Danio rerio: one gene and its partners. The main gene of each other region encodes a partner of the protein of the gene in region 2 in a complex. Links are inferred from orthologs where the notes say so. Each region holds a gene or a part of one and is shown on either strand. Other genes may lie near its edges.

The links.
Region 1: the proteins of uba3 (region 2) and nae1 are in contact, whole or in part, in a crystal structure (PDB 3DBR), measured with the Homo sapiens proteins. The link is inferred for Danio rerio from reciprocal best matches to the Homo sapiens genes UBA3 and NAE1. Residues at the interface, in NP_003959.3 of Homo sapiens: Trp34, Glu35, Gly36, Arg37, Trp38, Asn39, His40, Lys43, Phe44, Glu46, Arg47, Ser48, Gly49, Pro50, Phe51, Thr52, Phe56, Glu83, Lys86, Asn87, Leu90, Ser91, Val106, Ser107, Leu109, Asn110, Arg111, Phe113, Leu114, Arg116; in NP_003896.1 of Homo sapiens: Glu10, Gln11, Lys12, Tyr13, Asp14, Arg15, Gln16, Leu17, Arg18, Leu19, Trp20, Asp22, Glu44, Lys47, Asn48, Leu51, Pro52, Gly67, Glu68, Ala70, Gly71, Asn72, Asn73, Phe74, Phe75, Gln77, Arg78, Ile81, Phe92, Glu95.
Region 3: the proteins of uba3 (region 2) and si:ch1073-205c8.3 are in contact, whole or in part, in a crystal structure (PDB 2NVU), measured with the Homo sapiens proteins. The link is inferred for Danio rerio from reciprocal best matches to the Homo sapiens genes UBA3 and UBE2M. Residues at the interface, in NP_003959.3 of Homo sapiens: His53, Pro54, Asp55, Glu61, Ser62, Phe65, Cys70, Gln149, Asn152, Asp153, Thr154, Arg157, Gln158, Phe159, His160, Ile170, Arg173, Trp174, Ser181, Leu182, Leu183, Asn184, Pro192, Ile195, Val196, Pro197, Leu214, Met217, Arg254, Met255; in NP_003960.1 of Homo sapiens: Lys3, Leu4, Phe5, Ser6, Leu7, Lys8, Gln9, Gln10, Lys11, Lys12, Glu15, Lys21, Gly22, Ser23, Ser24, Lys25, Lys26, Ala27, Gln31, Leu32, Gln35, Lys36, Ile38, Asn39, Glu40, Phe51, Ser52, Asp53, Pro54, Asp55.
Region 4: the proteins of uba3 (region 2) and ube2f are in contact, whole or in part, in a crystal structure (PDB 3FN1), measured with the Homo sapiens proteins. The link is inferred for Danio rerio from reciprocal best matches to the Homo sapiens genes UBA3 and UBE2F. Residues at the interface, in NP_003959.3 of Homo sapiens: Ala401, Thr403, Thr405, Leu406, Glu407, Gly408, Asn410, Arg411, Thr412, Ser417, Val418, Thr419, Ser420, Ile421, Arg424, Thr425, Gln442, Glu443, Ala445, Ala447, Asp448, Val449, Thr451, Pro452, Gln453, Thr454, Leu456; in NP_001265234.1 of Homo sapiens: Thr27, Arg28, Arg29, Val30, Asp34, Lys35, Val38, Lys39, Val41, Ala42, Glu45, Val54, His55, Phe56, Pro57, Asp58, Pro59, Asn60, Leu62.

Annotation. Positions count from the first base shown.
Region 1 is NC_133182.1:45,352,083-45,358,946, reverse strand, and holds part of nae1 (NEDD8-activating enzyme E1 regulatory subunit), read left to right. Parts: intron 1-237; coding exon 238-313; intron 314-404; coding exon 405-444; intron 445-3,642; coding exon 3,643-3,729; intron 3,730-3,889; coding exon 3,890-3,982; intron 3,983-5,366; coding exon 5,367-5,481; intron 5,482-5,646; coding exon 5,647-5,696; intron 5,697-6,864. UniProt on the Homo sapiens protein: Regulatory subunit of the dimeric UBA3-NAE1 E1 enzyme. E1 activates NEDD8 by first adenylating its C-terminal glycine residue with ATP, thereafter linking this residue to the side chain of the catalytic cysteine, yielding a NEDD8-UBA3 thioester and free AMP.
Region 2 is NC_133186.1:19,921,911-19,928,774, reverse strand, and holds part of uba3 (NEDD8-activating enzyme E1 catalytic subunit), read left to right. Parts: intron 1-499; coding exon 500-543; intron 544-710; coding exon 711-775; intron 776-905; coding exon 906-1,061; intron 1,062-1,137; coding exon 1,138-1,240; intron 1,241-1,329; coding exon 1,330-1,443; intron 1,444-4,836; coding exon 4,837-4,890; intron 4,891-4,992; coding exon 4,993-5,029; intron 5,030-5,105; coding exon 5,106-5,187; intron 5,188-5,272; coding exon 5,273-5,373; intron 5,374-6,732; coding exon 6,733-6,796; intron 6,797-6,864. UniProt on the Homo sapiens protein: Catalytic subunit of the dimeric UBA3-NAE1 E1 enzyme. E1 activates NEDD8 by first adenylating its C-terminal glycine residue with ATP, thereafter linking this residue to the side chain of the catalytic cysteine, yielding a NEDD8-UBA3 thioester and free AMP.
Region 3 is NC_133194.1:51,591,028-51,598,627, forward strand, and holds the start of si:ch1073-205c8.3 (NEDD8-conjugating enzyme Ubc12), read left to right. Parts: upstream 1-3,010; 5' UTR 3,011-3,108; coding exon 3,109-3,223; intron 3,224-4,893; coding exon 4,894-4,988; intron 4,989-5,093; coding exon 5,094-5,132; intron 5,133-5,317; coding exon 5,318-5,421; intron 5,422-6,241; coding exon 6,242-6,305; intron 6,306-7,178; coding exon 7,179-7,319; 3' UTR 7,320-7,600. Other genes in the region: zgc:158376 (F-box/LRR-repeat protein 19), read right to left, coding at 332-502.
Region 4 is NC_133176.1:8,053,801-8,061,333, forward strand, and holds the start of ube2f (NEDD8-conjugating enzyme UBE2F), read left to right. Parts: upstream 1-2,663; 5' UTR 2,664-2,896; intron 2,897-4,558; 5' UTR 4,559-4,699; intron 4,700-4,849; 5' UTR 4,850-4,881; coding exon 4,882-4,999; intron 5,000-7,533. Other genes in the region: si:ch211-93g23.2 (uncharacterized protein), read left to right, coding at 707-844, 2,318-2,414. UniProt on the Homo sapiens protein: Accepts the ubiquitin-like protein NEDD8 from the UBA3-NAE1 E1 complex and catalyzes its covalent attachment to other proteins. Together with the E3 ubiquitin ligase RNF7/RBX2, specifically neddylates cullin-5 (CUL5).

The DNA of each region.
Region 1 (6,864 bases), on a different chromosome or scaffold from region 2:
AGATTTCGGTCGTCATCAAAACATTACAAGCTTCAATACGTGCTTTTAGTAAAGCTTTCAGGATTACTTAAAACACACTCTGAAGCCTTGACACAGAGCATAACATTAGTAGCATTAACTAAGAATTATTGATCATGACCAACAGCTGTACTGATGGGGTGGTTTCTGTATTGAATATGTAATCAGACTGCCTGTTGATGGTAAAAACTAGCATTTATTTGACATTTTCACTTTCAGGTACAGAGACAAAGCCATGAGGGATGCTGCAGTTGTGTCCAAACATGTTGAAATGCTTCTACAATCAGTTGGAAAGGTATTTACAATACATAATAAGCATACTGTTTTGCTATGATCTTTTTTTGCACATTAACGTTAATAATATGAACTCTCTGCTTGATCCAAAGACTCCAGAAAGCATCTCTGAACAGGAAATCAAACTCTTTTGTGAGTATATTCAGATGTGCTTGTTTGCGTTCTTGGCCTTTGATGGTACCAAATTCTTGTTGCGATTTATTTTTATCACGTACACAGGGTATTATCACGATATGAACATTAAGTAAAAAAAATGCTACTTTAACAGGTATAATAACAAAAAAATATATAGTTTATTGATGTATTAAATATACATTTTCAAAGTAAACAGATGTTTAAAACAAACTAAATTGCTAAAGCATTATAAAGTACAATAGGTAACAATTTACAATAAACGAATCTTTAGTAAATGTTAAATAATAGATTAAAATCAGTAGTGAGAAAAAACAGATATATTACAGTTACTATGCTAATAATAGTTAAAAATACAAATGAAAAGTATTAGTTCTAAATTCCATTTAAAACAACATATCAGATTTTGACTGATTTAGACACATAATTAGTAATTAAATAAGGTATTAGCATTACCTAAGAATAGGGCTGCACAATATATTGTTTCGGCATCGATATCGCAACGTGATCATTCACAATTGTCACATCGTAGGATCTGCAATGTTGACTCTGGATTATAATTCAGCATTTGAATGTGTTTTGAGGCCTGTGACTGTGTAAGGTTTTTTTAAAGCATTCGGGCAAAGTAATTTGTACCATTATTAATCTTAATTACGAGTCATTTTATTGAATTATTTATTCAACAAAGACTATACAATATTATTTTACATTTTACTAGACAATTACTCTATCTGCATACTTGTGAGACGCCCCAGATAACAATAAAAATAATTGTTTATTTAATTCATATCTTTTTCTTTATTGTATTCATCTAGGCTTGTAGATTGTTTTATGCTGATGCACTTACGGGATTATCCCAACTAATCAACTAAAATGATCAATTCATTCCAAACAGAATTATTTAAGTCATCTGGTGGAATTGTATTCATATTGCAATATATATCACAGAATAACAAAATATTGCAATGATTTTTCAAATATCATCAGCCATAAGATTAATAAAAGCTTTTGTAGTTTTTGTTTTAGTGAGTTTAGTTAAATTAACTAATGTTACCTACTGGAGACTTGTAATAATAATAATAATAATAATAATAGTAGTTCATTTTATTTATAAATGGCACCTTTCTTGACCCCCAAGGTCACCTTAAAATAAGCATCAACAGACACACCAAAGCAAATTAATAAAACAATTAATAAAAAATAAAACAATGGCAGACAAAATTTTAAATACATGAAAGGAGTTGAAGCATAAACACATCGAAGTGTAAAATAACATGGTAAAGGATAGTCATAGGAAAGCCTGCTTTAAGGGTCACGAAACATCAAAACTCATTTTTGAGCTGTTGACAGTCGCATATGTTTCCCACATTGCTAAAAACACTATTAGGACACATATTTTACAGAAAAAGTGAAAATTGGTTGTTTTTCCATTTTTTTGAGCAAATTCGTTCTTCCGATTTAAAACAAATTTTTTAAGCTGCGTCACAGCGATTAGATCCTTATGTGTAATCCAGCGTGTAGACTGGCTGTCTGTACCTGTAAGTGCATCGTGACGTCTTTGAGTGTGCTGCATTCATTCATGAGAAAGATTTTGTTTAAACGAATCAGCGTGCTCTATTGTGTATGCGGTGCAACTTCATTATTATGCATGATAGCTTCGAAGACCGTTTTTACCTGTACAGTGTTCAGACGGCAGAGAGAGATGCCACATTGTGTTGCCAAAACAAGTGGAAGAGGAAGAATTGTTTGGAGACGCAGGTTGTCAGTATTGCTTTTATAATTTGCTGCATCAAAGGTTTTGTTTTCATTTTCCCGCTATGAGAGTGCAACTGGACTCGCGTGAGGATTACAGTGCACGTAATCCACCCTGCTGAAACAGGGGGGTTTCGTGGCCCTTTAAAAAGATGGGTCTTAAGACGAGATTTAAAAGTGTTAAGACTGTCACTGCTCCTTTGGTCTAGGGGAAGCGAGTTCCATAGTCGAGAAGTCGATGCGTTTACTATTAGAGTACAATAACCCTAAACATAGTCATCAAATTTTCAATCAATATTTTAGCGTGTAATAGAACAGATTAATGAAGCTAATTTACTAATTAATGCCTAGTTCAGACTGCGTGATTTTAGCCCCGATTTTGGCTCACCGACAGGTTTTGAGAAATCGCCGACAAATGCCTGAAATCACAGGCAAATCGCTGCTCGTGCACGTGAGTGACAATCACACAGTATGAATGATCAAAGACGCGATCTGAGAGAATCGTCGATGAGTCGCCGATGCCTGTGAGATATTTGGCGTGCTAAATATCTGGAGCTATCGGCGATTCAAATCATGCCGTGTGAATTGAGTTTTGACTGAAAATAACATCAGCCATCGCCTACAGCCAATGAGAGAGCAGCTTTCACTTGTGTGTGCGTGTGTGTGTACCTGCTGCTGGCCAGCGGGAGGCTGGGGGAGAAGTTAAAAGCGCTCTTTTTCGGTTTATTTGGACCCACGAAATGGAGGAAAAACTAGTGGAGCAACCGTGTCTGTTTGACGTTTCATACAGAAAGAAATTAGTTTATTAGCAACTTAAGTTGAGGAGAAATGGCTAATTCCCTTTAAACCCAGGTGAGCAAACATGTACATGTTCTACCCCATTAAAGGCTTCTTTCTCATTACGTAGTTAATAACAAAAGATATACTACTTGTTTTTGGCTGTGAGACGTAGTTTGGACGAAGTTGTCGGCGATTCTCCCTATAGTAAAGTCATGCAATGTGAATGTTTATGTCGCCGAACCATCTTGCAGTGTAAACAAAGCAGCGACGAAACGCCAGCCCAGATAGTCATGCAGTGTGAAAACATCTGTGACACGACTAGTTTGAAAATCATGCAGTCTGAACTCGGCATAAGGCACCAAGCATTTAGCTCTGTTATGAACAACACTGAAAATACGATTTGAATAATCTTAAAAAGCACTCAAAAACTTGAAATAATAAATAATTATTTACCATATTTTTACATGCCAACGATAACAATATTGTGCATGTTCACTGTCATGGAATCTGAATTCTTTAATATCCAGATTTGCCTACTGCATTTATGAAATTCATGGTTAAAGGAACAGAATAATTATTTTTCCCATTTTTGAGCATTGGTAGTTTTCTCCACATCCAACCTCTTTGTTTAATACCTGTGTTGTGTGGTGTTTTGTTGTCCCACAGGTAAGAACGCGGCTTTCCTCCGAGTGGTGCGCTGCAGGTCTCTGGCTGACGAGTACAGTGTGGACACTTTTAATAAAGATGAAATCAGTACGTGTTCTTTACGGCCTTGTGGTTTATCTCAGCGTGTAAATGTTATGCTCACTGTTCAGGACTGTTTAGATGGATTTACTAACAGGGAATCTGATGGTTCATTGTTGTGTACATCCATGCTTGGGTGGTGTTAAAGCTGTTGTTTGTGTCTCCATAGCATCCTGTATGGACAGTCCAGACAGTGAGATGGTTCTGTACCTTATGCTCCGCTCAGTCGACCGCTTCTATCAGCAACACTCCCGCTACCCAGGTCAGAAGTAATCAGAGTAATCAGAACAGACACTTATTGGTCATTACAGATCTCTTAAAGGGTTTCAAGTAATTGTGTTTTCACAGCTATTACTGTTTTTCTGTGTTTTCTTTTTTAAACAAGCACATTTAACTGACCACCCCTGAATATTAATGAAAATTATTTCATTAATTTTTGTGTCATTTCAAACCTGTATTGATTTTATTGATTTTTTAAATTTTTTGCAGAATATTAAAAAAATCTATATATTTATGGAATGTATAAAAAAAAAAACATTGGTCACACTTTACAATAAAGCTTCTAATCTTACTGCATTTTTTACATGAACTAATATTGAACAATACTTGTGCAGCATTTATTAATCATAGTTTACGTAAACTACAGAAGAACTTTATTTCCACTATGTTCATTGCTTGTTCATATTAGTAAATACATTAACTAATGCAATCTTATTGTAAAGTGTGACCATAACAGCAGCTGCAATAAATGATCTGTAAATATATCAAAATACCTATTTTGAAGAAAATAAAACATGGCTGTTGTAGCCCAAAGTTTGACTAATGAATTGAGTCAAAATGAAGCTCTCTAGTGGCAGCATGGTTGCTCAGTGGTTAGCCTCACAGCAAGAAGGTCGCTGATTTAAGTCCTGGCTGGGTCAGTTGGCATTTCTGTGTGAAGTTTGCATGTTCCCCCCGTGTTCGCGTGGGTTTCCTCCGTGTGCGCCGCAAAGTCCAAAGACCTGCGCTATAGGGGAATTAAATTAACTAGATTGTCCGTAGTGTATGTGTGTGTGAATGAGAGAGTGTGTAGGTGTTTTCTAGTACTGGGTTGAACTGGAAGGGCATAATATATTGTGGAAGGTCTGCATAAAACATATTCCGAAATAGTTTGCGCTTCATTCCACTGTGATGACCTCTGAAATAAAGTCGAAGGAAAATGAATGAAGATCTCTAAAGCTACTTTTTGTAAATGTAAACAAACAATGACTTAAATTTTCATTTTAAGGTTAATTACTTAATTTGAGTTGTAATATGCAATTAATTTACCACTAACAAATACATACTGCAACTGTTTATCGTTTTGATGCAGTGTTTAGAGTCTTATCTTCTGACAGCTCTTATACTGTACATATATTCACATTATTTCTACATTGATAATATGACGAAATGTTTCCTGAGTATCAGTTTCTTCCTGAGAATAAGTATATTCAAATGATTTCTGCAGGAACATGTGACACTTGACTGAAGTACTGTTGCAGTTTTGTTGAGCATGAGACAGGCAGACTTAATATCTTATCCTTGAACAAAACGTTTATACAGTGGTGTGTTTATGAACTGTCACACTGATATTAGAGTATAAAGTTTTTTTTTTTCTTTTTTCTCAGGTGTCTACAATTATCAGGTGGAGGAAGACATTAACAAGCTGAAGCTGTGTGTAAACAGTCTCCTGCAGGAGTACAGTCTTAACGTCAATGTAAAAGATGACTACATCCATGAGTTGTAAGTTTAAGCTGACAGTTAAGCCTGTTTGGCCTAAATCTGTACTAGCCAAATATTTACACTGGAATTAGTTTTGTAATACTGATGATAAAGAGGCCCTCATTCTGCTGCTCCTTCTGTTTATAGTCAAATAACAAGTGTAAATGTTATTTTCATGTCTTCCAGCTGCCGATATGGAGCTGCTGAGCCACACACAGTCGCAGCTTTTCTGGGAGGTCAGTGTTCATGCTTATTCACTCACTGTACTTTCACATCCCATACTATAATTTATATTATAAGGATGAGAAATCAAATATTTATTGCTGGAATTCCTTGTATAATTCCTATAGCTCAAGTAGTAGAGCATTTCACTAACAAATGCCAAAGGTGTGGGTTTGATTCCCAAGGAAAGCAATAACAAAAAAGTAAGTGTACCTTCTTGGGCTGGGCGATTTGACCTAAAATCAAAATCTTGATTAATTAAACATTTATTATGATTAATAAACGATTATTTTATTTATTTATTTATTTATTGCCGTCATAGTTCACTGACAGGGTTTGTACAATAAATCACAAGTAAAAGATTTTTGAATGAAGGGTGCATTACTTGATTCTAAAATAACTGAAGGAAACACACACTATCTACTATCCATGATTATTTATTGAACATCAACGTTAAACAATCAAAATTAAAACACACATTGCCTAAAGCCAAAAGTAACTTTTTTCTCATATAAAAGTGAACATAAATTACTTGCACTTTTGGAAACAAAATTAGTTTCAATGCTTTCAAAACAAGAAAATAAGCAGCATCTCTTCTAAATAAATAACCCTTGTATATCCTGTAAATAATATTTTTAAACAGTGCGTTTCTTGAATCTTCTGTAAAAAAAAAAAAACATTTTAATTTAAGTAATCATTTAAATTTAATGGAAAATATGCTATCTCAAGGCATCTCTGGTGCAGCTTCCAATCAACGTCATTGTAGTGCAAACTTGCGACATATACTGTAGTTCCTTTTTTTTTCGAGAGGTGCGCAGTTATGCGACTGTGTGAAGGCTGCACCAGACCAGACCAGACGTTCGACGCAGAAGTATAAATCAGCCTAAGCTGAGATGGGTCACATGGCTCCACATCTGGTTGGGAAAGTAACGTAGACTAACCATGTTCCGTACACAATGATGTTTTGTACAGATTACATTTTAACGCCAATGTCTGCATAAATTCTTACGGGTCATAGACAAGCTATATATCTGTGTAATCTTTATTTGTCAATCTTTCACCCCCAAACACATCAGAGAGACTCCTACCAAATGTTTCTGATAAAATTCAAAAAGTTTGCTATGTCCACCTAATGCACTTGAAAATAGACAGTGGGCAAGCTAAAGGGGTGAGTGTTGCTTT
Region 2 (6,864 bases):
CATGCATGCATGTGCGTATTACATATACATAATAAATAAATATTTACAATACACACAAATATTATGTCAAAACAGTACCGTTATTTTAAATTAGTTAATGTTTGATCAACACTAATAAAATATAATTCACTCTTTTCAACTGATATTAACAAGCATCTTAAGTAACAAGCAGCATATATACAATATAAAAGATGTAACACAAATGTAAAACTGAAGCGTGTAGTAATGATGCTAATTAATCTGCTTTTTCAATAGTGTGAAAGTATGCTTTTTTTTAATTCTAAAATATTTAGTATAAATTGGAATAATACTTGGCAATAATACTGATTTACGCTATTGTTCATCAAATAAATGCAACAGAAGTGAAATTTAAAAAATCTTACTGAGCCCAAACTTCTGAACTTGTAGTTTTTATACTGATTTATACTGTTGTATTTATACTGTTTTACACAGATTTGTACTGTCAAAATATTGTCATTTCCCTTAATACATAATGCAGACATTTTAAGAAAATCCAGGACTTGGATGAGACATTTTACAGGCGTAATCTAACTGTTACACATTTTGTTTTCATTATTTTTGTGTACAGAAATAATGTCCTAAAATCATAAATATATGATACTATTGTTCTGTTATTGTTATTAATAGTATGATGCTTTTTAGGCAGTATTATATTCTTAAATCTTTGTAATTTAACTGTTTTTGCATAGAATTCCACATAGTCGTCTGTGGCCTGGACTCTGTTATCGCCAGAAGATGGATGAACGGCATGCTTGTATGTCTCATAAACATCCAAGAATCTATTAATAGATATGTTTAGATCTAAAATCCATTCATTCATTAATTAAGTAGAGTGTTTCTATTCATTGAGAAGTACATATAGTCTATGCATTTACCTTTGTCAGCTCTCCCTGCTGATTTATGAAGATGGAGTCCTGGACCCCAGCTCTATTATTCCACTAATAGATGGTGGCACAGAGGGCTTCAAGGGCAATGCCCGGGTCATTCTTCCAGGAATGACAGCCTGCATTGATTGCACTCTGGAGCTCTACCCCCCACAGGTGCATTTTGGGATTTTTTGTGTTAAGTTGAAGTTTCAAAGCTTTTTTGTCATGCTCATTTCTGCGCCCTACACAGATCAACTTCCCGATGTGCACTATAGCGTCTATGCCACGGTTACCCGAACATTGTGTTGAATATGTACGCATGCTGCTGTGGCCCAAAGAAAAGCCCTTTGGAGGTACAATATGAGCTGATTGATTGGAATTTTTGGTTGTATTGCTAGCAGGTAATCTACTGTATTTCAGATATGGCTTTTTTGTTCTTCAGATGGTGTGGTTCTAGATGGAGATGACCCAAAGCACATCCAGTGGGTGTATCAGAAATCTTTGGAGAGAGCGGCTGAGTTCAACATCACTGGGGTCACTTACAGACTCACCCAGGGTGAGTGAGATGCCCTGTTCAATGGATCTTCATCAGGGATTTTTAAAAGCATCTCTTTTATTGACTTTAGGGCTGTAATTGTGCACATATTCATAATGAACGATTTTGATACAGGTCTTAGGGGCTGATCACAATGAACATGTTTTTCCGTGCTAAAACACGAGGCGCACCATATTTTCTTCTTTGTTGACGAGAAAAAAGAAGCGCTTTTTGCTAGGCAACAACTGAATCAGCTGTGTATTGTGCGAGAGTGTTGCTGTGATATTGGTATCATTTTAATATTAAATAATACATTTTATTTGTATATATAATATTTGTTAAGTCATACAGCTCCGGATAACTCAAAACAGCAACAGCTAGTCTTTCCTCTTTCTCCAAAAGTTTCCGTAGTCATCTTGACAACACAAACACTGCTGTCACCTCAACAGAAACCCTGCCTCTGCTTTTATTTAATTGTAGAATGAAAAAGACGCGAGTGATGTAGCACACTTTTTTTCCCTCGGAGTTGACTTTTTCAACTGCAAGTGCACAGCACCTAACGGCAAAAATGCAAGGCGCACAGGGCGCATTAGCAGTGTGCAAAACGCTCATGACCGTTAATAAACTATTCTAAAGATTCAACCCTCAGCGCAAAAAATGCATTCTGTGTGATTGGCCACTATAATTCACATAGACATTATACATAAAGTTAAAATATAACTAGTGGGTGGAGGACACTTTAGTTCATTTATCAGGGTTTTCGAGGGACATTTAGGTCCTATCACAGTTCTATTTTTGTACCCCTTCCCCTTGGCCTTTAAAACCGAGTGTGAAGGGGAAGGCGAAAAGTTAGCCCTAAGAATTGGGACAACGCTACAGCACCTGTACACGTCATCATATCTCTTGCTTCTTATGAGATCGATGATCGTGACTGCTGTAGTTATTCCAGTTGCTGTAGTTTTTGGTATTTATCTTCAGGAGATCACTGAAGGCTTATATTATAATATCAAAACTATCTAATGTGGCAATAAGATCGTAACTGTACTGCGCATTTACACTGTGGCCATATTCGTCAATATAAACACACAAAAAACAATAACATTATAGCAGACACCGTAAAAAGCTCATGCGCAACCAATAGACTCTTCTGAAATGGTATTCGTGTATCATCGAGTGTCAGAATGTTGTGGGATTGCTATACAGGAGGTATGATTATGGATTATATATAGTGAAATTTAGCTGGTTTTATATTAGTATTTTTTTAAAGCATGACGGTAAAACATGAACGCGGTTATGAATATATTAAAAGATGTGCTTGTTTGTTGTAAAAATTCATAATAATGAAAAAATAATAATAATTTGCGTATCTCCTTACGTCCGGGTCTAGCTATCCTGCCCTTGTGGCTGGTGTATTCTGGGAAATTTTCTTACCCCTTGGTTTCGAGTGTGGTCCTGAAAAATCTCCATTCGAAGGGCTATCTACCCCTTAGCCCTACACCTTCAAGCTAAAGAAAATTAGGACACCCCTACCCCTTAATTTAAGGCCTAAATGGCCTAATAAATTATGTTTAATAAACTGTATTTGAAGAGTTCAGATGCAAAATCCCCCAGATGCCATCTGACATTTTCTTTTAAAATGAGAATTTTTTTCAAAAAATGATATTAAAATCATTTGAATTGAATTGAATGAATTGTTGAAATAATTCACTTTAAGTGCAATAAAAACATATTTATAAATGTAAAAGTTAAATAACTGGTCACACAACATATAAACAGGGCCTTAATTTCCAAAGTATTTTGAATGTAGAATCCATGATCAAACAAAAAGTGTTTCAGTGGTAATCAGTATATTGCTGTTTATTGGATAAGGGATTCATAAAGATATTAAAAAATATATCAAAGGCACTCAAAATTATTATTTTTTAAAAAACAACATGACTCGTTCACCTACCCATTTCGGCAAACTTGCCTTTATCAGGATGACAATATTCAGGTCGGTCTAGAGTTCATTTGAATTTTCAGTATGTCACATGACACAATTATATTACTACACAGTACAGAAAATAAAATAACTAAACAATAATGTCAACTCAGCAGTTATTCACAGTACAGTAATGAGAGAGAGAAAAAACAGAATAATTATTACAACATAAACTATACAGCATAATTCTCAAAATTTAGACATACAATACAAGACATATATTGAATACAGCTTCAATAATAATTTATTTTAATTTGCTTTTGCAAAATATGATCAAAACACAGAACCAGCTTTGATTATTTCTTTGAGACTGTTTATGTCTGAGAATAACATTTGCCTTTTTTTGTTTATCAATTTTTCTTTCTTGTCTCTTTGAGACAAGGCTGGGGGCTTGGGGGCTGACCCTTTTTTTTAGTTATTTCATTTCAATATGGATTCTTAAATGATTAGTCCAGGATCAGTCTTTCAGTTTGTGTTATTTCAGTTAAGTCAGGTCTACCACAGAATGGGCGTGGAGCTTCGCGATCAGAGGTAGGAGTGGGCGTGGCTAGCAGAGCAGGGTAAAAGTAGGGGAGCGAACAACTGTTGTCAGTTAGCTCACAAAATGAGACACAAACCGTGAGAAGATGCATGATTTTATAGTTTACAAAGTTAAAATGCAAAGAAATAAACAGTAATTTTATGCCCTGCTACATTTGTAATTTCATATACATAACCACAATTTATACCATTATGAAGATAATCGTGTTCATTTAAACACTATGAGGACTTCTCCCTCAATCTCTGGGTCTGTATGCAGACTCTCTTGCCCTGCCTATTTCAGCCATTAGCCCTGCTGGTAATCTGAAGGATTTAGGTGAACACAGCAGCATGGCGATGTGTCTAAATGTGAACGAACTCCACTGATAAAGGACAATGTTCGCCATTCTCCGCCATACTCGTACTGCTCTCCCGACAAAAATGCTTGCTGCACACAAACAGCTTTGCTGTATCGGCCCTGACAGCCCTGTATTTGATCCCGCCCCAAAAATAATTTTAAACCCGGAAGATGAAATTAGCTGATAATAGCTCAAAATTGTCCAGTTTTTACCACAATTAAAGCTGACAGGTGCTAACATTGTCCTAACTGATGCTCAACACACAAATCTGTTAAAATCTCAAAAAAGTACTCTGGTTTCTTGAACCTTTAATGCTCAAAGAACTTTACTAGATATTATACAGTACACCTCCCAACCAATAATCACAAGCTAGACAAGAAGTGTTTCTGTTAATTTTGATAAGAAATGAGGTCTTTCCAATTCTGTCCACTTTATCAAACAATAAATGCTATTTGGTTTGGCAATATAATGTTCAGGTTCAGTCTTTTTCCAAAAAGTCTAAATCAAGTTCACACAATTGTACTTGTTGATGTAAAATCACATCCTGTTTTTCAGGGGTTGTGAAGCGAATAATTCCTGCTGTGGCTTCTACAAATGCTGTCATTGCTGGTATTCTGACATTACAAATAATCTCTGGTTTTATTGTGCATTTTTTCAGTAAGTTGAGCGATAACTGTAAATACTATTTGCTTTTTTTCCTGCATGTTTCAGCTGCTTGCGCCACAGAGGTTTTCAAAATTGCCACAAGGTAAGTTATAATATAGTTCTTTAAAAAGAGCTTTGAATTCAGCATTTATTGACATATTTATTCTGTTCCCGAACAGCGCTTATGTTCCCTTGAACAACTACCTGGTGTTTAATGATGTCGACGGGCTGTACACATACACCTTTGAAGCAGAAAGAAAGGTTAGTAACTTGAACAGCATATGCTAAATGCTATAAATGTTTGAATGTGGATACAGCTGAAATGTTGTCCATGTTGTATTTGAAGGAGAACTGTTCTGCGTGCAGTCAGGTGCCACAGGACATGCAGTTCACACCGTCAGCTAAACTACAGGAGGTTCTGGACTACCTGACTGAGAACGCCTCTCTGTGAGACACTCACTGAATTAAATGCTTTACAGTTATTTGCATTGAAATCTCTTATTTCTTTATCATTGTCCTACAATATGTGTACCAATGCATAAAGCGTATAAAATAGTAATACTGTAAAACTGTGAACTTAAAATATTTGTAATATACTATATTATACCATATTTTTAATAAACTAAAGTATATAATATTAATCCACTTTAATATATTATATATTAACAGATAAATACACTGAAAATCTGAATTAAAAAATAGTAATTGTATAAGTCTTAGACCTACAAATAAGCTATCACATTTAAAAAAAATAATTATGTCATGTTATAATTAATTATATTAAAATATTACTATGTAATTAATATATTTTCTCTGTTAATTAAATTAATATAATTGATATTACACTATTGCTTACTCATTCAAACTCTTGACAAATTTTTTTCATATTTTTTTATGCTTATAAAGTAAATTAAAATAATAACAAATTATAGCTGGTGTGTTTTGTGTGTATGATCACCCCATATTATCATATATGAAGCTCAATTAATCGAGCATGGCACTAGCAACAACAAGGCTGTGGGAAAGCATAAAAAGGACTACCTTAAATGAATTGAAAGCTTCTTCGGAAACAAGTGTCTGCAAAATGCAGAAATGCAACTGTAAATGTGAGTTAAGTTGTCCCAATTCCAACCTGCATTCTAGTCAATCAATCCACAAGATGGTACCTTGACCCAGTGAAAACATCTGGCGATTATGTAGTTCTGGCAAAATGATGTCGAAGGCTCTCCCAAAATCTGTTGATTTGTCATTTGTTATTCAAATCTTGTAAACCATCTAATGTCAAATATAACATTACGCAGTTTCAGACATTATCACTTGATGGCTGACTATATGTCTATAAATTGTTAAGAAAGCATTTTTTTTATTGTAACAACAATTATTGTATATTTAATGCATTTTGCTAATTTATACTGTATATGGGGGAAAAATGAAAGTAAAAATCATGTCAATGAATTTTCACCATGTTGCCAATTCTATCCTAATGTTTTTATTTTAAATTGGAGGTGTAAACTTTATACTCAACGTTGTATAGATTTAGTCTGAAATGCAGTATAAAATACACTTGCTATTAAATTACTAGTACACTATAAAGAAGCAACAACAAAAACTAAATAAAAGCTTAATGTCTTTCTCCTCTATTAAGCAAAGTGCAGTATACAGCAGGAATCTGCCTCAGTATTAATTCCCTTTGCACGTAATGCTCCTTGTTTTTTAGATTAATAATAAAATATTGTAAATGTCAGTCATACAATTTTTTTTTTTTTTTATATTTTCGTTTATAATAACGCTGTTTTCTCCTCCTAGCCAAATGAAGTCTCCTGCAATCACTACAACTTTGGATGGAAAAAACAAAACTCTGTATTTACAGGTTAAAAGCTTTTCTAACATGATTTGATTACTGAGTTTCAAGAGTTTGACTGCATTTGAATCTCTTTG
Region 3 (7,600 bases), on a different chromosome or scaffold from region 2:
GACCATTTGGGAAAACTGATGTACTATTATTTAACTTTGTATAGTCACTAGTGTTCGTGTCAGAAAACATCCCTCATCATCGTGTCTTCTGTTTAGGAGAGGATTTGTGCGGCAAACTAATGACTCAATCTGGCAACCCTGTGTGTGGACTCTGATCGGGTCTGCATCAGAGTTACAGCTGTCAGATGAAGAACACTGAAGAATAAAAACCTGATGCTGGTATTGTGTGTGTGTGTGTGTGTGTGTGTGTGTGTGTGTGTGTTTGTTTATGTGTTTGTGTGAGTGAGTGGGGGGCAGGGGGGAGGGGGTGTTCAAGATGTTCAACACTCACTGCAGTGCACTGCCGTAGCAGACACGACTGCTTCATGCGTCCCGGGCCTCCAAACTTCTTCATGTCTTTGCAGAAATGGCACTCGCCACACTCCGTCCGCATACACGCCTGACAGCGCCGGCAACGAGTCCGCCGCCGCCGCGCGCCGCCCAGCGCCTTACTGCCAGACATCCCCTCTGCATTCAACTGAACACACACACAATAACATAACACACACCGATCAGATCTGCGCTCTCACAGTACACTGCTCTGCATTCAAAACACACACACACACACACACACACACACAATATTGCCAAACTACTGCCTATATGATCAGTGTGTATGGCAGACTTTTTCTGAGTTCAGTGGAGACCAGTTATCATAAGGCAAGCGTTACTTTAAATATTATGCAAAGATATTAGGGTTATTTATTTTAATGTCGTGCGAGTTACAATACCCAAGCTGATCTTTATAAACACTTTCCTCCAGTCCATATCCAACGCTTGCATTTAATCAACTAATTCCTCCAGCTGAGGGGTGATGAACACGTCTTATTATTCATTACAGATGGGGTCTCTACATTAGAAATGAAAGGTGACATTGAGTGAGTCAGTGAATCTGTTCATCTGTCTGATTCATTCCAGAACAAAGCAAACGACTCAGATAATCACAGACTGATGCTGCGCAGCACTCACTGTACTACCGCTCCGCTATAGCAGTACAGCGCATGTGACGGCTCTCCGCATTGTTATGCTTTAATGCTGCTGTTAAACATCATGAGGACACTGCAACTGTGGAACGAGTGTAATCATAACTACTGCTCAACCATTCTGCAGCAAACACTCTTTACAGAGCACTCCAGCATCTGCAGGTGTGTGTGTGAGAGATGACACATGGCATGATCCTAATATCTGCACATGCATTAGATGATGCTTACTTTGTGTTCAGTTGTTGTGTAGCTGACTGAAGGCTAGATGTAAATGAATGAGAAACACTGGGCTCTCCACTCTTTGAGCTGGTCAGATGTGCACTCCACTGCTAGTCATCCGTGCACTACAGAGTCTGCATGGGGGATTGAAACACCAGCTCAAGCACCAGTTTAACCACAGTATTTTCTCCGCAGCTCTCCTGTAGCGCTGCCGGGGTCACAGATGATCAGGGTTTGAGAAAACACAGGAGTTAGCGTTTACTTCTGCATGTGCTTTCACTGCCAACGACAGCAGATACACTTTCTGTCAAACATCACCCGAGTGCTCTGAGTGTGCCGGCCTTAATCCACAGCAAACCTGACTACATGGAGGATTTCCTCATGTCACAGTACTGGGGATGTAAGACTACAGTGATGGATGACTGAGGTAACTACTGGCACTGTGGTTACCATGGCATTTATACAGTATGTGGGTTACGCTGTCACACACACACACACAGACAGGTGAAATAAGGGCCTAAATGACAGAAGCAGAGCAGAGAACACACGTTCATCACAAGCACAGCTTTACCATCAGTGGATGAACACACACACACACACACACACACAGCAGAGAGAGAGAGAGAGAGAGAGAGAGAGAGAGAGAGAGAGAGAGAGAGAGAGAGAGAGAGAGAGAAAGCGCTAACCAGCTAACCAACCCTCACACAGTCCAGCGGCAGCAGATCGCAGGTCTGAAACACACACACACACACACAAATAAACAGACACGCTAGTTAGCAGGTTAGCAGCTCCATCCAGCAGCGCTACTAACCCTAACCAGCAGCTGAGGGAAGAGAATTTGGCCCAGGGTGGGTTAGTTTAAATGAGCAGTTCTCTCCCTCACACACACACACACACACACACACACACACACACACACACACACACACACACACACAGATGACTAGCTGAGCAGCACACAGGACTGCCGTTAGAGAAGCAGCCTATCTAGTGCCCTCACCTGCTCGTGTGGAGGCGCATACTCTCTGGCCGAGCATCGGACTGTTTCTGCGGCGGAACACAATGAGCTTCCGTGTTTCTGCTGCTCAGCCCTCTCACCGAGCCGTTACCGACACCGAGAGGCTGATCCCGGTCCCTCAGCCCTCCAGCCGCTCAATCCCCGCCGTGTGGATCCGCAGGCCGGTGTTCGGGAGCGCAGCGGCGGATAAACGTGTCTTTTGTTCGCGCTCCGCTATTGTGCTGCTGCGCGTCTGATGGCGGATCCGCGTTCATTCAGCAGCAGACGCGGGAAACGGGCCACAACCTCTGACAGGACGCTGACGCCATCACATGCGATTCTGCTCCCCGAAATCAAATAAATAAATAAATATGGTAAATAAAAAATATGGAGAGTAAAAAAATAGCAAAGCTCCTCCCAGTCCTCTGGTCACCGCCGAACGGCACTATGGGAAATGTGGTCCGCCGGTGCCCTACCCAAAACATCCGCTTTCAGTATCACCGCAGATTTATGATAAAACTGACACAATTATATAATAGCTGTTATTAAAAAAACATTCATCTTGACAACAACAACACTATCAACAATAAGAAGATTTATTAACTTTAAAGTATAAGTTTGCGGTTTCTGTCTAGTTAATTGTGTTCTGAAATCAGCTGAAAGAACAGTGTGTGAACAGAGCTAGCATTTGCGGCTAACACACACACTCACACAGGGAGAGAGAGAGAGAGAGAGAGAGACTGACTCACACACACCGGCTCCCTCTACAGCTGCTGTGAAACACACTCACACACACACACACACACACTCTCTCTCCCTCAGAGCGCAGCTCCCGAACACACCGCGCTGTTTGCTCTGCAGAGGCCGAAGATGATCAAGCTTTTCTCGCTGAAGCAGCAGAAGAAGGACGAGGAGTCAGCCGGCGGGCCGCGCGCGGGGGGCGGCGGGAAGAAGGCGAGCGCGGCCCAGCTGCGGATACAGAAGGGTGAGAGACACACACACACTCTTGCTCTCGCGCACACACATATACACGCACGCAAACACACCGGGCCGGTACCGGAGCTCGCACAGCCGCGGGGCCGCCGACCGGGTCGCTGAGGAGAAACAGCGATAGCGTTAGCATTAGCCGCGCGCTAACAACATCCGGCGCTCCTCGGAGATTCTGGCCCATAAAACAAGACAAAACAGACAGTTTAGACATTCACAGTCCGAGCAGGAGGAGAACACCGATCAACCGTCGAGCTGCGCGGACAACTCTGCGTTTCTGCCCGCGGAGAGGTAAAGTTTAAGTCTCAGTCAAAACACTGAGGCCTACAGACCCGGAGGAGGAGGAGAGCTGGAGCTGTTCATAACCAGAGGAGACCTTCAGCAAAGATCTGCTGTGCTCCACAAACCATCCACACGATATCACACACACAGTAACAGTCAAACTGGAGTGAGTGTGTGTGTGTGTTCATACAGCTGAGCAGAGTCTGGTCCCCATTCAGCAGAAACACCAACTCGGCTGAGGAAACACAGCCGATACTGATGAGGAGAAACGGCTTTAAACACACACACACACACACACACACACACACACACACACACACACACACACACACACACACACACACACACACTGTTTTAACTGTTCCAGGGAAGTGTCCTCAGTTAAGTTAATAAAGCACAGTGTGTTTTCGGCTGTTCTCCATCACTCACGCTTTATTTGCTCCACACCTGTGAGTTACTTCTAATAAACACAAAAGAAGATAGTGTGAAGAATGCTGGAGGAATCTGGCTTTGACTTCCGGTGTTGGTTTTTCCTACTCTGGACCTGAAAGTTTGCAGTGTTGTTCAGATGTGCTGCTTTGAGAGGTGAGCGGTGTGTACATGAGCAGAGCTCTCCTGCGGGACCCTTTAACACTCTTACACACTTTGAGTCTTGTTTTAAGACCCAATCACGACCGCTGTAACAACAATGACGCGGCTTTAATATTTAGATGAGCGTGAACAGAAGCTGAAGATGCAGAGGAACAGCCCCACTGCTTCTGTACAAACCACCGACAGCCAATCAGAATCAGCCTGCGCAGACGAGGATCATGGGACGCTGAGCTCTGGGTGATGGCACTGCCTGTATGATGCTGTAGTTCATGTGTTGTTGTATGACTTGTTAATCTACGCTGCGGCTGACATGGCCACAACACATAAACACATGATGACAAGCCCTGATCAACACAGACGGCTGATGGAGGAGTGTGGAGATCAGCACCTCCTCTGTGTGCTTCTGCTCATCAATAATGACTGTACTGGCCCACACTGATGAAGAACAGCAGGAGATGAAGCAGCCGTGGTGGAGCAGAGAGGTGTGCACGTGTGTTTTTGTGACATATCAGGACACAAATCTGTATATGACAGGTGTAACACGGGTATTACAAAAAGGTGAAATCTGTGGACATTGGTGACGTCCTCATTTCTCCAAAAGCTTCTAAATCCCACTGAGTGAGGGAGAGAGTAAAGCTGCACACCGGCTCCTGTGATGGCTCGGGTTAGGGCAATACTGTATACGGTTTGAACAGTATAAAATTAATGGAAACCTATGTAATGTCCCCGCTTTTCACAAAAACAAGTGTGTGTGTGTGTTAGAGAAAAGCTAATGCTGCTGTTTCTCTTTGTCAGACATCAATGAGCTGAACCTCCCGAAGACCTGCGAGATCGTCTTTCCAGACCAGGACGACCTGCTGAACTTTAAGCTCATCATCTCTCCAGACGAGGTGTGTGTTCTGTGTGCTGAGGAGTGTGTGTGTGTGTGTGTGTGTGTGTGTGTGTGCTGATCTGGGGAAGCGCTGTACTGACCGCTGCTCGTCTTCTTTCCTCAGGGTTTCTATAAAGGAGGGAAGTTCGTCTTCAGTTTTAAGGTGAGCAGCAGAGGGGCGAGCGGCGCGTCCGTGTCCAGCTCTCTCCAGTGTGCTGTCGCCGCTGCACTCACACTGTTCTGCTTGTTTCTGTAGTGTTCTGATCTGTATGTGAGTGATGTTGTGAAACTTCCGTGCGCTGATCTCTGCCGTTGTGGGAAGGTTTTTCTGACGTGTTTCTCCTTTAGGTAGGGCAGGGTTATCCGCACGACCCCCCCAAAGTCAAGTGTGAAACGATGGTTTATCACCCCAACATTGACCTGGAGGGAAACGTCTGTCTAAATATACTGAGGTATGGTGTGCAGCTTTACACTGTTGCTCATCTCCATCTTCTTCCAGCTGAACACATTCATCTCTTAATGCTCAGGCTGTTTCTACATGCATCTCTCATTTCTCTTTGCTATTTGGGCTTATTGGAAGCTGATTAGAATAAAACGTGAGGATCATCTTCTGATAAGATGTACTTTTAGAGGAAAGTGATGTTCATATATGTGGACTGAATGTACATAAACACTGTTTCCTGCCTGTCTGTAATGCATATTTAATATAGGAATATTTTGAACATGTTTTGACTATCAGAGAGTGAAATCAACATTTTTGCCCATTATGGACGGTTAAAACAGTGTTTGGGACACGTCATATGCTGCAGAACAGTTGCAGGATGATTCTGTGTGTCTGTAACAACATATAAAACACTCAGACTATCTTAAACAGACCCTGCAGAGCTCGAGTGATGTAAAAGATCACACTGTGAAATGTGTTGAATGCTGCTCCGCATGAGGGACTGGATGGTGTTCTCCCACCTGATGACTTGGTTTATTAATGATCAGCCCGCTTCATCATGTACACACTGTAAACACACGCTCTTCTTCTGTAATATAAAGGATATTTGGATTATTTGACAGATATTTGAATCGGTGTTCTGGATTTTTCAGTAAATCACTGAAGAGCAGTGAGTGATTAGTCTAATATAAACCACAGGAGGAAGCTGTCCAGCGTGAGGAGAGTACCCTGCAGCAGAACGACACAACACTGCTGCTGAAGAGCTTTATTAGTAAATGAGTTGCGATGGTGTAACTCTGCAGTTCACACACAACTTTACTGTATTTCAGAGAAGACTGGAAACCGGTGCTGACCATTAACTCCATCATATACGGACTACAGTACCTGTTCCTCGTAAGTGTTGATCAGTGTTCTGGCTCAGTTCATAATGACTATCACTAGTCCTAGCTTAATTAAAGAGGATCTATTGTGTGTGTGTGTGTGTGTATCTCCAGCAGCCTCTAATGCTCATCATGAGTGAACTGTGTTTATTATAATCAGACTTGATGCAGAAACACTGTGATTGACATTCTCTCTTTGTACACGTCATCAGATGGGGAAAGCCCCGCCCACTAGTGCCCATCTCTCCATCTCGTTAGCATATCCAGCAGCCCTGAGTGAGAAGCAGCCGTCTGTCCATTAGCCAGTAGAGTGTTTGAGCTGCTGAAGATGATGTCAGCATAGACTAAGAGGATTATAGATGTGGAGTTCTAGATGAACAGAAACAGGAGCCACATAGACTGACAGAAGCATCAACACACACTCACACTGCAGCACACACACACTGCTGTTTTACATCTGTCACTATGCTGACATCTGTAGCTCCGCCCTCTTCTGAAAAGATTACAATATCATTTACATTTAAAGCGACAGTCACCAAATTAGGATCAAAGCCTGAAAGGGTCAGTTTCAGAGAACTGGAGAACATTACCTGTGGGATATTCAGCTCAAACACACACACACACACACACACACACACACTACAGACAGCAGACATGCGTTTACAGCTCATATAAAGGGGCGGAACAGCTCTCCTTTAACCCTGCCCTGTCCTCTTAGACATTTTGCAGTTGTTGTTGTATAGGGTGTAAGGGCAGTGTGTGTGTGTGTGTGTGTGTGTGTGTGTGTGTGTGTGTGTGTGTGTGTGTGTGTGTGTGTGTTATTGATCGGTATTATGATGTGCCAGCTGTATTGGTGAAGTGTGTGTGTGTGCTTCTGTTCCCGCAGGAGCCCAATCCTGAAGACCCGCTGAATAAAGAGGCAGCAGAGGTTCTGCAGACGAACCGGCGACTCTTCGAGCAGAACGTCCAGCGGTCGCTGCGGGGCGGATACGTGGGCGCCACCTACTTCGAGCGCTGCCTGAAATAGTCCCGCGCCCGCCGGCCCTCACGTCCGAGAATGCATTTATCGTTTACATGCGCTGAGATGTACTGACCGACACACTGACCGCTCTCGGGTGTGCGGGACGGTGGCGAGCGTTCACAGGCTGGTCAGTGGTTGTTGCTCAGAGAATTCAGTCGTATTTCGCCACTATGCTGGTACCCACTGTTTATTTTTTGCTGAGATTCACATGCTAACTCATCCTCCACTCAACATGAGCGTGCGCGGGGCAGACACACACACACACACACACACACACACACACACAC
Region 4 (7,533 bases), on a different chromosome or scaffold from region 2:
CCTTGATTTATGGCAATATCTAAAGTTTATTTTTAAATTATATTAAATTAAATTAAATTGCAAATCTGCAAGTAAAGCATGTAACATTATGTAAATTTTTCAGTAATTTTATTCTTCCATTGAGTATGCCCTCTGTGTTAAACATTAAGCTTTGCAATCACAAGAACAATATTACTAATTTTATATGTGAATAAAGAGTGGTAAGTGTGCGTTTTTTTTTTATATTTAATATTTTTAATTTTATTTTTATTATTTTATATTTTTAATTTTATTTTCAAAATTTTAACTTTGATTTATGGCAATAAAGTAAGTTAATTTTAAATAGATTTTTAAAAATTTAATTTAATTAAAGCATGTAACATTATGTAAAGTTTACAGTAATTTTATTGTTCCATTAAGTTTGCCCTCTGTGTTAAACAATACATTTTGCCATCACAAAAACCATATTACTAATTTAATTAAACTTATTTTACTTATTTTTACTAGTTTAATTAAACTAATTAAACTAAACTTTGAGTGCTGAGAAAAAATCTGATGCAAATGTAGCAAAGCTTTATTATTATTCATTTCAATTGCGGAAAACTACAGTACAAGTAAATATTAATAATATTGGGCCTAAACACTTAGTTATGCAAAATTTATTTCATGCATGATGTAAAATAAACACTTATATTCACAGTTGAGTTCCTGTGTATTTTTTTCACAGGCATGAATGTCTGAAGAGTAGGAGGATTATGCCATTGTCAAAGTTCATTGGCTTGGTTGAAACTTTCTCTACTTATCAAGGTTTCCTGGAAAAGGATCCTGTTAAGGCCAAGAAACTGTCAAAGACCATCACTGACAGGTAAAAGTAAATATTTAACTAGTGCTGGCCAAGGATTAATCACATACAAAATAAAAGTTTGTTTTGACATAATATATGTGTGTGTATTATATATATTTACAATGTATTACACAAACATAAAAACAAAACTATACAAAACAATTTGTTATCATTCATTCATTCATTCATTTTCTAATCGGCTTAGTCCCTTTATTCATCAGGGGTCGCCACAGCAGAATGAACTGCCAACAACAACATATGTTTTACACTCGGATGCCCTTTCAGCTGCAACCCAGTACTTGGAAAAATCCATACACACTCATTCACACACATACACCACAGCCAATTTAGCTTATTCAATTCACCTATAGCGCATGTCTTTGGTAGAAACCAGAGCACCCGGAGGTAACCAACGCCAACTCAGGGAGAACATGCAAACTCCACACAGAAAATGCCAACTGACCCAGCTAGGAATTGAAGCATCAACCTTCTTGGTGTGAGATGACAGCGCTACCCACTGCGCCACTGCACTGCCAATTTGTATAATACACACATATTTTATCTAAATATAAATAAACATTTAGTCAAATATATTCATGCATGTCTGTATTTATAGACACAATTAAAATACACAGAACACACATTTAAGTCATGTCGAAACAAACTTTTATTTTGGATGAGATTAATAATGATTAATTTTTGCCCAGCATTATATGTACTTTAGGGAACAGATGATCACAGATGCACGGTTTACTTCATTTATTTAAACAAATAAATTGATTATCGAAATATGAAATGAGAATTAGTAAACCCCTTTTCTTTTTAAAATATTTCCCAAATGATGTTTAACAGAGCAGGGAAATTTTTCACAGTATGTCTGATAATATATTTTTTTTCTGGAGAAAGTCTTATTTGTTTTATTTCAGCGAGAATAAAAGCAGTTTTTAGTTTAATTATTAGCCCTTTTAAGCTATATATTTTCCCGATAGTCTACAGAACAAACCATCATTAAACAATAACTTACCTTATTACACAACCTGCCTAGTTAACCTAATTAACCTAGTTAAGCCTTTAAAAGTGACTTTAATCTGTATAGAAGTGTCTTGAAAAATATCTAGTCAAATATTATTTACTGTCATCATGACAAAGATAAAATAAATCAGTTATTAGAGACAAGTTATTAAAACTATTATGTTTAGAAATGCTTAAAAAAATCTTCTCTCCGTTAACATTAAACAGAAATTGGGGAAAAATAAACGGGGTTTAATAATTCTGGGGGTTTAATAATTCTGACTTCAACTGTGTGTTTGTGTGTATATATATATATATATATATATATATATATATATATATATATATATATATATATATATATATATATATATATATATATATATATATATATATATATATATTCCGTATGTATATATATATATGAATTGCCTTTTAAAAATAATTATTTAATATGATTCTAAAATTAGTTTTTTTTTTCAGGTTGTTGGAAGCAATGGGAGCCTCGTCGACTGACACAGAATTAACAGTGATAGTAAAATATTTTTATATATTAGCCTCTAAACCGCGTAAATCCTGACATGATCCTTCAAACCAACAGCTCCATCGAACAGCATCAAAGCATGTTTTGTATCTCTGCTCTGAAGCGTTTGAACAATAAACACTTCACTTAACACCACGCTTGGATTTACTGTGTCATGGGTTTAATATTGCAAAGAACTCCATAAAAGAATTAGCTAAAGTGCTGTAAAGTTAAGTGCCTCAAAATCTCATTTGGGCTTTGTACAAAATAAGGGCGGAATTTTATTTCTGGCGTTTGATTCCATACGGAACTCTTATTAAATGAACGGAACAACTTCCGGCTTCTAAACCGCTCAGGCAGCGGAAATCATTAAACTCGGCGGAACTAATCCTCGCATCGTTCCACTCAATTTTGTTTCTTTTATCGACGTTCAGCATATTTTATCTTGAAGTTGTTTTGGGGGGAAAACGTGCAAAATTCACGTCGGGTGTCCCGATTATGGTGTAAACAGGGCAGTTCAGTCACTCTGACAGCGGCAGGTAAGTGCATTATCGATCGCAGCCGAGTTATTTCACATATTTAGAGTTGTGTTATGAATGTAAATACCTTTTAGACAATATATTTAATTGTGTACGAAAATATTTAGCTGAATCCTGGTATAAATTATGCCCTGAGCGATGAGGATTAGATTGTAGCTGCTAGTAAACATGTTAGCAAAATAACGCCTGGTGACACTAACTGGTGAATATGAAAGTTTGAATGGATTTAAGTCATGCTAAGTTATCTGCACATTGAGTTCTTATTATAGACCATACAACATAGAAGTTGTGTTATAGTTTTAATATTTCATTAAAGGACGTTTTGTAATGGCATTAGAATGAGGGTAACAGATGGTAATAACATGCTACTTTTATTTATACAGCTGTGCTGACAGAACGCTCTATTCATCTACTATGGTATTACCGTGGTATTCCAAGGCATTTAAAATGAGCCATCGCTTTATTTCAGTACATGTTTAGAAAGAAGCTTTATACTTTATTTGTAGTAAGTTACAGTGGTATGGTATTACTGTGAAGCCAATGACATGCCAATACAATTCGCATTAGAGATTTCGTACCTTTGTATTTATTCCAGTATAATAACATACAGTTGAAGAATTATTAGTCCCCCTGTATCTTTTCTTCCCCAATTTCTGTTGAACAGAGAAACTTTTTTTCAACACATTTCTAAACAATAGGAAACAACTCATCTCTATTTAACTTATTTCTTTTGTATTTTCCATGATGACAGTACATACTATTTTACTAGAGAATTTTCAAGACACTAGTATTAAGGGTCTAATAAGTTTAACCTTAAATTGATTTTTTAAATATTAAAAACTGCTTTTATTCTAGCAGAAATACTACAAATAAGACTTACTCCAGAAGAAAAAAAAACATCAGACATACTGTGAACATTTGCTTGCTCTGTTAAACATCATTTGGGAAATATTTAAAAATGAAAAACAAATTCAAAGGGGGCTAATAAGTCAGATTTCAACAGCAACTTTATTAAAACATGTGTTTATAACACCCATATTTGTTGTTATTCAAATATAGCAGTAGTAGTGTTATTATTCTACAAACAAAGTTATAATGGTTTACAAATGATATTAAAGGACAGTCTGTCATGTATAATAACATCATAGGTCTTTTGAGCTTAATCGTATAACAAGAATGCTAAAGCTAAAATATGTTCAATGCAAAGAACTTAGTTACTGTCTTAAACAATAGCTGTCACAACAAATTATTAACATCAATAAATATTTCATATTTCAAAGTTTAAACTAATAATGCAAAATCAGTGTAATGTTTACCAGTCTTGTTTTTGTATCTAGACTCTATATCATAGGGTTACCAATCTCGGTCCTGGAGGGCCCGTGTCCATGCAGGGTTTAGCTCCAACTTGCTTCAAAACACATGCCTGTATGTTTTGAGTATGGATAATAAGACCTTGATTAGCTTGTGCAGGTGTGTTTGATTAGGGTTGGAGCTAAGATCTACAGGACACCGGCCCTCCAGGAACAGGTTTGGTGACCCCTGCTCTATAATATTAAAATATAAAAGTTATGTAGTTTGTAGTTAGCATCACTATAGTTTTGCTATGTTTTTAATGTTTTTATGACACTTTTAATATAGATTTACTTGTTATTCATTTTTTAGGTTTTTATGGTAATATTTTACAGTAAGTATTGCTTACTGTAAACTTTTTCTGTTACCTACATTAGTTAACTACCTTTTAGAAGAATAACTGAAAAAAAGGAGAAAAAATGTGAAAAGGAGTGCTGTTTTCATTTTAGTTGGGTAAGTTCAACTTAACGAACGTTAGAAATGTTTCTAAGATAAAGTTTAAGTTATAATAATTATAATAAAGCGGATATATATGTTTTTTAATACTTTCACTTGTGTTTGGTGTTCACTGATGGTCATTGTGTGTATTTGTGTTCCTCACAGGTGTGTTAGGGTGTGTATGTTGGTCTGCGGGGATGCTGACGTTAGCCAGTAAGCTGAAGAGGGAGGAGGGCGTAAGGGCCGGCCGGACCCCTGCAGGCTCTAACGATGCCGCTCATAGAGTGTCCATCAGAGATCGACTGCTCATCAAAGGTATGAAAAAAACACTGCCTGCTGGGATCATGACACACTGGTTTGCGTCTAGTGGTTCTGACCATTTTTAGGTCTGCCCTGATTTCACAGTCAAAACATGTAAAGATGGACAGGTTATCTGATGAAACTTCTGGAAAATACTTGAATTTCAGACATGGATTCAAGGCCTGGAAAGTAAGTAAAGACAAACATAGGTCCGTTTAAGTGCTTGAATTAAATTTTAAATTAATTTGCTTATGGTTTTTTTTCAACCCAGTTGTTGAATACAGAAAGAAAAAAACTGAGAAATTCTTAAATAAAAATATTGTAAAATAACACAGACAAATAATGCACATTTTATCGATATATCAGAAACTGCCTTTGAATATTACCAGTAGGGTTGGCCCGATAGACGATGCCTTCGTCCATTGCTGATGGCCGATAGACAACATGATGCTGAGGCGGCATCGCGATCCTCCACTCCCCGTTGCAAACCTGCTCAAGAAAAATACACACTCAGCCCCCGTTAACACTCATACGTCTTAGTTTTAAAATGGCATTTTAGAACAAAAATGATTGTTTACCTAGCATTTCTAAACTGCCCTCCGTCCGTTGAAAATTCACATCACCTGACCACACACAGACACAGCCACACACACTGTCATGCACTCATCTGAGCTCCAGAGAGCACTGCACGTTGGACAGTTTATCAATGATGTACCTACCGCTGGATCAGGTCTTACTATCTTGTCTCTATTTAATGACTCTTCTGTCTTTTGAATCTATCAGTTAACGTGTCACACCGTCAGTACACTGCTTCAATCTTTCGCTTTCACACTTGAACTTAGTAATTTTAGTGAAAACCTCAGATACTGTTGGTTGGTTGTTGTTGGTTTTGCACCTTTTTTACAGACCAAGTTTGTCGACGTGATTATAACGACAGATCACTCATGCCAGAGTCCTGGGGAAAAGTGATCATTTGTGTTTAAGTTATCTTTATTTATTTATGATTTGTTTTTGGGTTAAACAAATACCATGTGGGTCAGGTAGTTGAAGCGGTTGACCACAAATAATTAATTTGTTTTGAATAATTTAATTAATCATGAATAATTAATTTACCTCCGCCTATGACGACGATGCCATCGTCCATCGCAATATTTTACATTAGACATTGTACGATTCCAAATTGGTCGACATCGCCCAACCCTAATTACCAGTATTGAATTCAACACGTTTTATTGAAGTTCTTTGAGCATGACTTTAAAACGGTCAAGCGTTTTTTAAATTACTCTGACATGTATAACGTAACTATTAAGTGTAAGTGAATTGTTAAATGTTGAGGACTTTAATGACGCTGTATATGCTGGGATATGATTTACAAAGGTGCTTGATATAAAATTAATGGTGCTTTAAAAAGACCTTGAAAGTCACTGAATCTGCTGTTCATGGGGTGGGTGCGAACCCTTCTTTTTACAGAGAAAAACATTAACAAAGCAAAAATAAAAGAAAACTGATTACATGAAATATGTAGTCTTTCATATAGGAGGAGGATAAACTGTTTTTTTTGCTCACCACAATAGTGCTTTTCTGACTGTGCCTGATGTTATTGTCCATTCAAACCACCTGCAATATTGTTTGTTCAAACACTGCTTTAATTCCAGGTTAAGGAATGAGATGCTTTGCCAGACATATTCGGTGTGAAATGATACCATGTTAGAATGTTATGACAGGACACTAAGCAACCGAATGCCAATCATGTGCTTTATGTGTCAAGGAAACACCGTACATTGTATATAAACAGCCATTTCAGCATTTGAGGAAATAAAATACTGGTATATTGCTGTTAAGTTATTGTTGAAGGTCCTGTTTGTAGGTGTTTGACTCTTCAAAGGCATGAACAAACATAATATGTTGCAGATATTTAAGAAACATAAGTGAACATAATTATTTATTTGTAAAAACAACGCTAGTAACAATAGAATAACTAAGTCAGTTATCTTCCTTTAAAAAATTGTGTTCTGTGTGGGAATGTCTGTCTTTGTTTTGGTCTTTATAACCCACCCACTGCCAGTTTACCCAATCATATTTCAGCACCTTTGGTGGAAAACAAAACATATTTAATTTGTCAATATATACTAAGGCGGCTGAAAATGTAACCTCTGAAGGACAGTTAAAATAATTTTTAAAAAATCCCATGAGGTGGTTTTTAATTGGCAAATATTATAAATATTATAAATGTTATCGTTAGATGAGCAGCTTACATTACAACTTGATGTAATAAAGACAATAATGAACCTATTAGAAATAGGAAAACAATATGTTAGGATAAGCACATGAAGATGCATCATATAACTGAAGATGTTTTGGACAAAGCCACAACAAACACCTTATTCACCATGATATAACGGTAAATAAAACTAAAATTCTACTATGAACAGAATCTTGCAATGGTTTCCCCACCTCAGAGCTCTGCTGATTTGTCCACAGCTTTTGGAGCTGACAGTAATGAGTTGAACAGTGAAAGTTGAAGATGCTTCTAAAAAAAATGAAAATAT